Arabidopsis thaliana: one gene and its partner. The protein of the gene in region 1 interacts with the protein of each later gene in a pairwise test. Each region holds a gene or a part of one and is shown on either strand. Other genes may lie near its edges.

What was found.
Region 2: the proteins of YAB3 (region 1) and KAN interact in binary tests that used the Arabidopsis thaliana proteins (3 or more experiments, as listed by UniProt).

Annotation. Positions count from the first base shown.
Region 1 is NC_003075.7:72,020-77,110, reverse strand, and holds YAB3 (Plant-specific transcription factor YABBY family protein), read left to right. Parts: upstream 1-1,534; 5' UTR 1,535-2,021; coding exon 2,022-2,135; exon of another isoform or gene 2,136-2,222; coding exon of another isoform or gene 2,223-2,243; coding exon 2,244-2,414; intron 2,415-2,683; coding exon 2,684-2,843; intron 2,844-3,403; coding exon 3,404-3,452; intron 3,453-3,587; coding exon 3,588-3,663; intron 3,664-4,043; coding exon 4,044-4,121; intron 4,122-4,232; coding exon 4,233-4,307; 3' UTR 4,308-4,566; downstream 4,567-5,091. Other genes in the region: AT4G00170 (Plant VAMP (vesicle-associated membrane protein) family protein), read left to right, coding at 5,026-5,077. UniProt on the Arabidopsis thaliana protein: Involved in the abaxial cell fate determination during embryogenesis and organogenesis. Regulates the initiation of embryonic shoot apical meristem (SAM) development.
Region 2 is NC_003076.8:5,406,337-5,413,552, forward strand, and holds KAN (Homeodomain-like superfamily protein), read right to left. Parts: upstream 5,431-7,216; 5' UTR 4,757-5,430; coding exon 4,027-4,756; intron 3,923-4,026; coding exon 3,846-3,922; intron 2,964-3,845; coding exon 2,918-2,963; intron 2,041-2,917; coding exon 1,893-2,040; intron 1,339-1,892; coding exon 1,230-1,338; intron 1,131-1,229; coding exon 1,029-1,130; 3' UTR 527-1,028; downstream 1-526. Other genes in the region: AT5G16550 (voltage-dependent L-type calcium channel subunit), read left to right, coding at 1-38, 148-305. UniProt on the Arabidopsis thaliana protein: Transcriptional repressor that regulates lateral organ polarity. Promotes lateral organ abaxial identity by repressing the adaxial regulator ASYMMETRIC LEAVES2 (AS2) in abaxial cells. Required for abaxial identity in both leaves and carpels.

The DNA.
Region 1 (5,091 bases):
TCTTAAGTGATATATATAAGATATGAGCCTTTCCATCTATTGCCAATTGGTTTTATGTTGGAAGCCCACACTCTAATAAACTCAATACAAATACTAAAGTTGCAAACAACTATACTATATTTGCTTGAAGTTCTATTGTGATAGGATTTTGACTTACAAAAATCATATTCTATGTCTACACTATATATTGTGAAACCGGATAGCCATAATATTTACAAAAACTTAAACTAATTTCAGATATAAATAAATTTAAATTTCACTATGACCTAGTAATTATCACGAACAATTGGGAAGTTACCACAAAATGGTGGTCCTGTATTATGGAATTTAGCGAAACCACACACTTGCGGGTAAAAATAATGATGACAAAATGATATACATTGGAATGTAGAGAAAGTATATACAAATACTAATAAATAGAAAAGGGCATGGAATTGACGAGGATCGAGGGAAAGTGTGGTGTGGCAGAAATGTTATTAAGTGTGAAAACAACTGATGAATGAGCCTTTGCTTAATCACTTCCATGCACAAGTCCCTTTCCTCTTCCTCTCTCTCCCACTTCATCGAACTTTGCGTCCTTTAAAGAAAAGAAAAAACAAAACATTTTTCATCCAATTGAATTCAAACCGTAACCAGATTAGATTTAACTTCGTTTATTTTACATTATCTTCTTCTTCTTATTTTGCGGAGAAGACTTGTACAATGACCTCAATACGCTGAAGAGTTGGATTCACTGCGAGTGTATATGTGCATATAGAAACAAAATATCTAGCTATATGACCACTTTTAACTCTAAATATGGGTGTAATATGCCAAGGACTTTCTGGAGATCCACCACAACACACATTCAAGTTCAAGTTCTGCTGCTTTTAGGTCTATGAAAACAACACCAACCTTATTTTCATATTGTTCTCTCTTTATCTCATGCATAAGTATATTTTCATATTGTTCCCTCTTTATTTTCATGCTTTTAGTTGATATTTTTTTTGTTATTGTATTATCATTAGTGCGACGACACAAAGTCACAAACCATGTAACAAAATGCTTAACCAAAATAGAAAACCTTAACAATTCCAATATATTTTCTGTTATTGCATTATCAATTATCATCAAATTTTTTTCCACTGTTGCATTATCATCATTGCGACGACACAAGGTCACAAACCATGTAACAAAATGCATAACCAAAATAGAAAACCTTAACAATTCCAACTTTAACATGTGAATTAATATTATCTTAATTTTTGGATGTTCGACATTCAAATAAACTCCTAATTAAACCCTATAGATATGGTTAATCTTCTATACATGTGTCACGTACGACACTTATTAGCCAAATTGAAGTTTTGTTTTTTCCGCAAATATATAAGCGGTTTAAATAGTTGGTAAAAAAAAAAAAAAGTTAGCATGTTTGTCGTATGTACATGTTTGATGCTGCACAAATCTTGTCGTTATAAAACTTTGAAATCTTTATATCTATTATTCCTCACCGATCGGCTACTAATTCAATGGTACTTGATAATGATAATTAGTCCCAAAGTAGAGTTTTTATCTGATTATATAGAAACAAAGACTAGTTCCGGTTTGATATATAGAAGAAAGAAAAAGGATGGATAGGAATAATAAAGAAGATAAACCGGTTCAAAAGGTAGTAAATGAGAATGCAGGTATGCAGCTTATCTCTACAATGGCCTCTTCATCACATGTCGCCAATTTGTTTAGGTACAGTGTCTCTTCATATTTACATAAATAGATATCTCTCTCTCTCTCTCTCTCTAAACCACATCTTCCTCTCCACCGTTCTTTCTCTTCCTTCTCTCTCTGGACTTCAACTTCTGGAGAAGTACAAGACATTTATAAAGTACTGCTCATCACCCAACACTAAACACAATTGTCAAAAGGGTGTGGTGGAAGGAGAATCTACTTCTATCTGAACATCGATCAGTCATATCTTTTCAATCAAATCAAAGCCCTCCTCTCTCTCTTACTCCTTTTTTGTTTTAAATCAAGAAAAAGACTCCATGTCGAGCATGTCCATGTCGTCCTCCTCAGCTCCAGCTTTTCCACCGGACCACTTCTCATCTACGGACCAGCTCTGTTACGTCCATTGCAGCTTCTGCGACACTGTCCTTGCTGTAAATTTTGGATTATTCTTATATCTCATCTCAATATTTCAAATTTATAACTCTAGCTAGGGTTTCACATGAATTACTAGTTAATTAATGTGTGATATTAATTGGCAGGTGAGTGTTCCTCCGAGTAGTTTGTTCAAGACGGTGACGGTCAGATGCGGCCACTGTTCGAACCTTTTGTCGGTGACCGTGAGCATGAGAGCTCTTCTTCTTCCATCCGTTTCCAACCTTGGCCATTCCTTTTTACCTCCCCCTCCTCCTCCTCCTCCTCCAAATCTTTTGGTACATCGGTTTCATTCATCGAAACAAATTAGGGTTCTTTCATAAAAAAAACAGAGAGTAATAATTAGGGCTTTTCTTCTCGAGAAACGCAAAATTGTGAAACTCAATCCAAAAATGTTTAATTTTGTTAGCATCCCGGGATAGATCTAAGTAGTTTGGCAATGGCTAGTTAACTAGGGTTTCTTTCGAAAACATCATATCAAAGTAGTTTGGTTTGATTAGTGTTTTAAGTTTTTTTTGCCAATTAGTTTGCTGATTTCATTTATTAGGAGGAAATGCGAAGCGGAGGGCAGAATATAAACATGAACATGATGATGAGCCATCACGCTTCAGCTCACCACCCGAACGAGCATTTGGTTATGGCGACTCGCAACGGAAGATCAGTGGATCATCTACAAGAGATGCCTCGGCCACCACCAGCCAATAGACGTAACCTTCCATCTTCTACTCTTTATTTCAACATCTTCATATATATATATATAAGAAAACAAAAACCCTAATTCACAAAACCTTATCCATTCATTTCTTCAACCTTTTATATATACACTCCAAAGAATCTCGTTTGTTTATAATGAATTTATAAGTTTTGATTTCATTTTTGTTCCCTCGGTATGTGACTTCTCGCATGCACTTTTTTTTTGGTCAGAAAACAATTTCGACAACAAAAGGAAAATTAATAAGTGATGTGTTTATCCCCCGGAAATCTAGCTAAACCTATAGATGCCAACTGATATAGTTTTGGGGGTAGATCGTAAGAAAGATAATGATGAAGTGATGATGATAACGAGCAAAGTGAGAGGGAGAGGGAGAGAGAGAAAGGAGGAAGAGTCGAAGAGTGATTGTTTTTTTTTTTTTAATTGTTTTTTTTTGGTGAATTTTTAGATTTTTTGGGGAGGCACAATAAAAACCAATAATGTTTTTTTTAACAAAAGGGTTTGATTTGGAATTAAAATTGAATATGTTCTGTTTGTTTGTTTGTGGAAAAGCAGCCCCAGAGAAGCGACAAAGAGTACCATCTGCATACAACCGATTCATCAAGTAATAAGTTTATTCCTTTGCTTAAAATGGCATAATTAAATTTCCCTAATTAACCATTTTACTCATATAATTAAGGGTCGATAGATGTGACAGATTTGATTTCATTATATGATATAAAAATAAAAATGTTGACAGAGAGGAGATCCAACGTATAAAGGCAGGCAACCCTGATATCAGCCACAGAGAAGCCTTCAGTGCTGCTGCCAAAAACGTACCATTTCTTTTTTTAATATATAAAACTAATTTTCTATATTGCATTATATCCATAATCATACAATCTCATTTTAGTCTTTATGAATTGAACCTAGCTAGATTATTGTGGAGCTACATTGATACTCACATTGCTTTAAATTAAAAACATAAAACAAAATAGTTACCGTAATAATCCATAATTCATAAGCTTTATCCAGCATACATTAGCTAGGACTAGCCTTAGGATCTACGATCTAGGGTTTCAGTAAAGTTCCCTAGCAGATATTTTAGTCTGGCTTTGTATTCGTATATTTTTGACCAAGTTTTTATGTTATGTATAAGATAAATACACATTAATGTTAAAAGAGCTAAGTATATGATGTAATATGTATGAAACAGTGGGCTCATTTCCCTCACATACACTTTGGACTCATGGCTGACCATCCTCCCACGAAGAAGGCTAACGTGCGCCAACAGGTTACTTACTACTACTACACTATATTTATTTATTCAAATGTATATAATCAGGAGCATGCATGCATTGATCATCAAAACATAATCGAGATATTTTATTTTGGTGTAATGAAGGAAGGAGAGGATGGGATGATGGGAAGAGAAGGGTTTTACGGTTCAGCTGCCAACGTTGGGGTGGCCCATAACTAGCTACGAAGACTTTCCCAATCTTTTGTAATCTTCAAAATGTGGTTACTTTCAGCTCAAACTTAACTTTCTTATTACTATTTTATGATATTTGATAATCGATCAGGAGACCTTTTTTTTTTTTCTTAAAGAAATTTTCGGAACTACTAGAATTTTCTCTTGGAATTGAAAATATATTGTTTTCTCAGTTGCCGTGTTATATATTTAATATCAAAAGCATGCAGTAGCTAAGCTAGCTAGGCTTTACCATACGTTAATGATACTGTCTTTTTCTCTTTACAATTCCATATTCGAATTTGATTTGTATATAACATATTGGGAAGAATCATCAATATGTATTCAGCTCAAAAGAATTCAACAAAAAAAAATGCCTATTATCAATAAAAATTCACTGGGCTTTAGAAGGCCCACAATAGTATAATGGATCCTTTTTGTTGGGCTTATTTCAGTCAGGGAACAATAGCCTTGATTTTGTTGGGCTAACCGCTAACGCATTAAAAAAATCACGGTCAATCGGTGATCGTCAAATCTAGTTACGTGGCATTTAATATTTAAAACTACAAAATTTACCAGTCTTGGCTCAAAAAAATATTTATTCACTTTTCTTCTTCTCTGACCAAAATCAAAATTTGTTCGATTCTCATTCTTCTTCTCACAGTCGTAAACCCTAAAAAAAAAACAGAGAAATCAAATTTCAATCTCGAAGGATCTACAAAGAAGCATGACGACCGGAGATCTCGTTAATATCCATCCTACTGAGCTTAAATTCCCCTGTAAGTTTTTTTTT
Region 2 (7,216 bases), on another chromosome or scaffold:
TACAGTTTCTGCTGTCGTTTCTGTCTTAATAGCTTCAGGTTGGTTATATACTCTGCTCTGATTCTGTTTTGGAATCTTGTAATGAGTGACACTCCAAGTTACTTCCTATATGTATTGAAGAATGAAATGAATTTGGTATTGGATCAGGTTGGATTGGGTTTTTCTATGCGGTGTGGTTGGGAACAAGAGGAAGCCTACGCTTGGCTAAGCAATCGGTTTCAGTGGTGGGATCAGCCATTTCAGGTAACACTATCAGTCGTCATCAACACCAAGACCGGGAGGTAAACATCGAATCAACCAACTGAGAATCCGTCCTTACCGCGTTTGTAAATAAACCCCGACTTTTGGTTGTTAATGGAAGCTTGATATAAATATGATCTATGGAGTTTGTTGTGAAGAAGCAGAGAAAGAATGATAAGAATATTTCAAAATGCAACTTGAAACATTTTGTGATCAATGTCTACGGATTTTTGGATCTATGTATGCATACATTGTGTGTTTTATGTACTTAAGAAAGAATAATGATCAGTATCCATATGAAATCTCAACTCAGATCTCTCCCTCTCTCTACATTTCGGCTGCAAAAAAAAAAAAAAAAACTTGAAACCCTCTAGCCAACCAAGAGGCTTTCAAAAAAATATCCAAACTTTCACCACATTTTGATGATCTTCCAATTATATAACTTATGATCACACCACCAGATCAACCTCAAAAAACTAAAAACCCGAAAACCCAAAAACAAAAACTCATACATTGATCATCCACTTTATAATCAAATCATCAATGGAACTTGAGAAGAGGAACCTCCAAATTTCTTCATTTTGGTAGTGATATTCTCTCTCTCTGTGCAAAAATCAACACTCTTGAGCAGCTTGGCTCTCTACGTGTTCTCCTTCTTTTACGCTGAGAATTTCATCGTCACAAAGATATATACTGCATACATGTTTCTGAGTATATATAGAGAGAGAAAGATGAAACAAAAAAATAAAAAATCCAATATATATAAAAATCCAAATTGATCAAGAAAGTCATTTCTCGTGCCAATCTGGTCTGCCTAATGTAAACTCCAAACTTGGATTTTCACAACTAAGATTTCCACACCTCTTTGCTTGATCATTCGACCTTTGCTCCTGCCAATTTTAACTTTATATTAGATTAAAGGACAAAAAAAACACTAAGAAAGGCAATATCTATCTATACAAATATGATTAGATGGGAATTATCAGAACCTGATTTTGAATGCTGGATCTTTGATAATGAGAGATCATTGATGTTGATGAAGTTCTGATCATTGTATCTATGTCGCTTGAGCAGTTATTACTTAATGGCCATGTCTCTCTATTTTATGATTTAAGAAAAGAAAGAAAACAAATTAAGGACAAATTGTATTTATTGATGTATAGATGCCCTAAAAATAAAATAAAAATCACTACACACAAATTGCGTTTTTTTGCAACTTGCTATATGACCACAATCTACATGTCATACTTATGAAGCAAAATTCGTTTATCCTAGTCTTCCTAGATGAATCTTAAGAACCCAAACCAAATTATAATTAAAAAAAAAAACTTGGTACATATAATTAAAGTTCATCAGCCATAAACCCTAACCAATTTCATCTCATTGTAACCAAAACCATCACTCAAATTTTTTCCCCTTAAACTGAACGAAAACAAACTTAAAATATCATCTAAAAACTATTTTTGTTAGAAGAAAATGGATAGATGTGGGATAAACCAAACAATTGTCGTATGAATTACTTGGTAGGAAGTAGGAACAATTAGGTGAGAGAACCCTAAACCCTATCTCAAATTTCGTCAATCTTATTCTTACCTAATGTTTATATATACTTATCGTGTGTATAATACATGTACGTATATACGTAAACGTACCGTGAAGAGTTACTCCAACGAGGTTGTGTGGAAGAAATGTCAGTTTCTTGATGAAGAGAAGTATCATCAGATTGTGCCCTTTGATCCGTCGATGATTGATGATGAACTTCGTTTCCATTTATGCCCATTTCTTCTTCTCCTGACCCATCTGAAATTTTATTTTAACTTTTTATCAAGTTTCGTTGTCTCAAATCAATCACTTATACCCTATAAGGAATCTCATTTAAAACTGAACGATTCTTGTAAGCTTTTTTGTAAAAGACAATGCAGTGAAGAAATTGTTTTTCTTAAAAAATAATTTCAGCATTTCGTGTTGACCAACCTAATATGTGTCTCAAAAAATAGTTTTACAGACTCGAAAATTGTGCCAAATAAACTTTTAATTGGTTAAAGAAAATCCATATGAAACAAGTGGTTTTTCTTTATTCTTAATTCATGAACTTTGCTTGGATATGAGTTTACACTTCACACGTTTTAAATTTAATCTTTTACTCGATTTTTTTTTCTTAGAGAACATCAATATTGGGGATATATGTTTGTTTGGTTTGCTTTGAACTTTGACCACTCAACTTTAGGGTTCAATCAAAGGAAGGATAAAAGCCTTGAGCTTGACCAATATCTTAGGGCTCGTTTTTTATTATTTTGGGGAAAGGGAATAGTAGAAATAGTAGAATCAAATAGTAAAAATAACAGAAATAATTTCACGTCATTATATCTCTACATACATACAAATATCGAATCACAGCTTCAAATTCTGATTGAGAACTAATTTCTTATAAATATTGTAGTCAAAAAAAGCTATAATAGTGATTATATTGGACCTCCATTTCTATAAAATTCTGGTGGAGAATCCTAAGCTTTATTGTATATCTGTCTTATGTTATTTTTTGGTGAATTGTATATCTTTCTTATTAAAAGCCAGTACCATTTCTTTAGCATATATAAAGCTGAAAAAAGCTATACTAAAGAAATGTGAATATGCATAACATTATATGTGTGTGTGTGTGTAAAGGAATCACACGTACCTGATGAAGCAGCAGGCTTGTTAGTGGTCTTAACAGTTCGATACATCTGCAAAAAAAAAAAAATTAAAGGCATGATGAGAGCTCTAAAACTAGAATAAACCATAAATCCAATTAAAGACACAGGAAAAAACCAAAATAAATATCGGACAAAAGATACTGATAAACTAAATAGATTTATTTTTGTATAATGTGATACAGAATTACAGATGACAAACTGGAGAGATATATGCAGACACATATGAACTTTATATTATTAAATAAATAATATATGTAGTACATATGTGTGGTTTTCTGGGTTTGTCTTGGAACTGATGATGTATATATAATTAATTATTTATGATTTTAAGACCACGAGGTTGATGTCTGAAAGAAGGTTGAGTAATAGAAAGATTGTATTATTATCATTGAGTAATGATGACTACTTTTGTCCCCTCTTCCTAATTTAAAAAAGAAAAAATGAATTATAATCCAAAATAACTTCTATCTATCATCTCAATTCTCCATTGTTTAATAATTCTCTGAAAGGTTTCAGTCACTTAAAGCTATAACTACTCTCTCTTTTTCTCTCTTTAAATTCATTCAACTGCTTCAATTTTCTTGGCAATTGTGCCATCTCTTCCAAAATATGACTAAACTTAAAGCAAAGACAAAACAAGAAAATAAAAGTAACACATCAGAATTGGAGCTCTATTCATTGCTCTGATGATATATACGTACACAAAAACCTTGTTTCTTGATTCAGCTGTTTTTGTGCAAAACGCAAAGGAGAAGAGAGTGACATGATGGTGATGAAAACTATGAAATATCCCTAATTATAGAAAATCTTGATTGGTAACGAACTAACTCGACTAGATTAAACCTAAATTAACAAATAAAAATTGATTCTTTGTTGTGTCTAATTTAATTTCAAATAGAGTATAGATTATACCTGCAAATGGCTCTTCACATGTGCTAAAGTTAAGTCTTTTACATCCATGAGCTCAAGAACCGACTTTGGAGTTGCTCCTAGAATCACAACAACAACAAGAATAAAAGATTTAAGACTTTGAGAATAAAGTGAAGAAAAATGGGAATGATCATTAGAATGTGATTATGATATAAATGTGTACTTTCATGGCCGCCTAGAAGCTCAACAGCGTGAACAAACCGCGCGTGGAGGCTACTAGTCCAACGCATCCTTGGAGCTCTCATGCTTCGCTTTGTCGGCATCTTAGGCAAGAATCTTGATCTGATCATCCCATGATGATGATGGTTATGGTGATGAGGAGAAGACGAATCTGAAGATCCAACGACTCCATACTGATTATGATGATGATGATGATGCAAAGGAACACCTTTAAGCCTCGGGGAAGATTGTAATGATCGGTAAGCGTTGTTGTAGCCGGAAGATGAGTTTAAGATTGAGATTTGATCCATGTCTCCTCCTCCAAGAGAAGGTAATGAAGAGTTTTGTTGGTGGAAAGGGAATGAACGGTTGTGATAGACCGGGATGCCTCTAATTGGACGGTGGAGATTACTAATCTCGGATTCATCGACCCTTTGATGAACACCATTGATGATAGGGTTGTTGTAATGCTGCTGATGAGGAAGATTAAGGGTTCTTCGATCAGGACAATGGAAGATTCTTGCTGTTGGATGGTTATGATGAGATAAAGAGAGTTCAAAGTTGGACGATCGGTTGTTGTTTTCGAGTTGGGAGGATCTTCTTGAAGATTCTTTAGAAGATTCATTGTGATGGTATTGATGAATATCTGGGAGACTGATGTGGAGAGATAGATCAGGGAGAGTAGTTGTTGTGTTTGTTTTGGTTTTCTCTAGAAAAACACCTTCCATAGACATAATTAAAGAAACCTTTCTCTTGCTATTGCTGCCACTGAAGTTGTTGATGATGATAAGGATGATGATGGTGATGATGATGATGACTATTCTTTTGTTTTTTTTTTCTCCTGAGGGTTTTGCTTAGGAATTTAAAATGATTTTCTCTAAGGAGAAGAGAAAGCAGAGAGATTCTTTAGGCAAAGAAGTCAAAAGGGTGTCTGAAAGATTTGATATTTTTTTTGTTCTCTTTCTCTCTCTATATCTCAGAAAGAAAGGAGAAAGTGAGAGAGATGAAGTTAAAGAGAAGCTTAGAAGAAGAGAGAGAAGTTGAGTGATGATCTTCTTGAAGAAACAAACATGCTCAAAGTAAGACGCAGAGAGAGAGAAAAAGAAGGAAGAGAGAGATAGAGAGAGGTATGTGTGTTGTGAAGCAAAGGCAGAAGAGAAAAAAGGAATAAAACTAAATCCAGGAAAATTAAAAACAGGTAAGAGAGAGAGATATATGTGTGTTCGTTCATGTACATGTATGTGTATGTGTATGTGTGAGATGTTGTTCCTCGAGAGTATATCTTGGAAAACGATAGTTGAGAAAGGGTAATATTGTCATTCGCTATATTCCAAATATTGGAAGCTTTTTATTTTATTTTGGGATGGTATTTCAATTTGTCTTTTTCACCTTTCAACAAGTAAACCCATCTATCAATATAATATAAATTATTTTACGGCTAGATTAATTGATTTCATGTTTTAGTTTATTCGTTTAAACTACTGAAATTTTGATTTCCATAGATAAAGTTGAAGAATAATAGCAAAATAAATCTTGTTTTCTATCAATTTAGTAGATGAAATTTTCAAATGTAAAGTGTATTTAATAATCGACCAATTTCATAGATGAAAAGCATACAACTTTTAACAATAAAAATTAATACGATTATCATCCATTAAAACCTTAACAATTTGAGTAATAAATCAAAAACTCAATTGATCTTTAAAATAATAATGTTCACAGATTATCATGAAGAATAATAATTAAAAATGTTGGAGAAGAGTACAAGAGGAGAGAGAATAAAGGGTCGCTCTCTTCTGTCCTATCTAATCTATAGTCAAAGCAAAAGCCAAAATTAAATTAAATAAATAAATAACAAGAAGAAAAAAACAAACACAAGACCTATTCTAAAATAAATAAAAAGTTTCATTATAACCAAAAAAAAATAAAATAAAAAAAGAGAGAGTGCTTTGATTTTGGTACCCCGGAGACGACGGGATACATATGTTGAGACTTGAGAGAGAGAAAGAGACTGTGTCCTCTCTGACTCCTTTTTTATTTTCTCCCCCACTCTCTTCGCTTCTCACTTCACTCTCTATTCACATCTTATTATAATAATTCCTTATACGATTTTGGAATCAAACAAATTCAAGTTTCTGACCGTAGATTGTTCAACTATACCTAAAGAGATAAATATACATTAAATATCAGTACGTTCTTGAGTTTATGAATAGCTCGTATAGACATTTAGTTCCTAGAGATGTGACTACAATATCAACCGGCTACTTGTTTGACCGTTTTGTGTTGTCTATCAATTAGAGCCAAATCGAAGTCATATACATGTCGCTTTAAAATACGTACTTGAAAAGAAATAAAATTAGGCAGATTTATATATATTTTTGACTTGTTTGTGTCGAATGTAATAATGTATGCATTCTAGTGTTTCTGTTTTCTTTGTACTCGACATTTTTACATTCACATTGTTCGTTTATAATTCTACAAAAAAAATTATGGAGTTGACTTTATCTACTGTGAAACAGAAATATGTCATACTGAAAAATAATGAAAAATATACAAAATTGAATAGTATTTAACTATTCGTATGTTTTTGTCAAAGAATTATTATATTTTTTTATCCCACTTTTAATTTGGAATATATAAACTCTGTGTTTTGCCTTCCAAAGGTACGGAAATTATTGTCTTAGAAAGTATCTTTCTCTTCAAATACATACATATATGCATACGTGTGTACAATACAAGGTGCCCTCGTACGTATATAAACCAAGTGTCATATAAAGAATTCGATCAATTATTGTAACGTAACATGCATGCTTTTAGATTATACGTGAAGTTAAATATATATTAGACCTAAGAAAATACTCAGCCAGAAAGTGGATTTTGTTTGTTTCCCTTAATAAACAAAAACAAGTGAACCCTAAAGAACCTAAATATTTGCTTCTAATTCCCTTTTCATTCTCCCAAATATTCCTTCTCAATTTAATAACTCTTTTCTAATTTTCTTTAAATTGTCTTCTAAGAAAAAAAATAAACTATTCACTCCTCACATGACCATATCAATACAACATCTCGACAAATCATTAATGCCTTGAAATAAAAATATGATAAATTGTAAGACTATGTTTATATATCAGGAAATTTAAATAAGTGAGATTTTATTCGTTGATTATACAGTAATATATATTTTTCTTATTAGA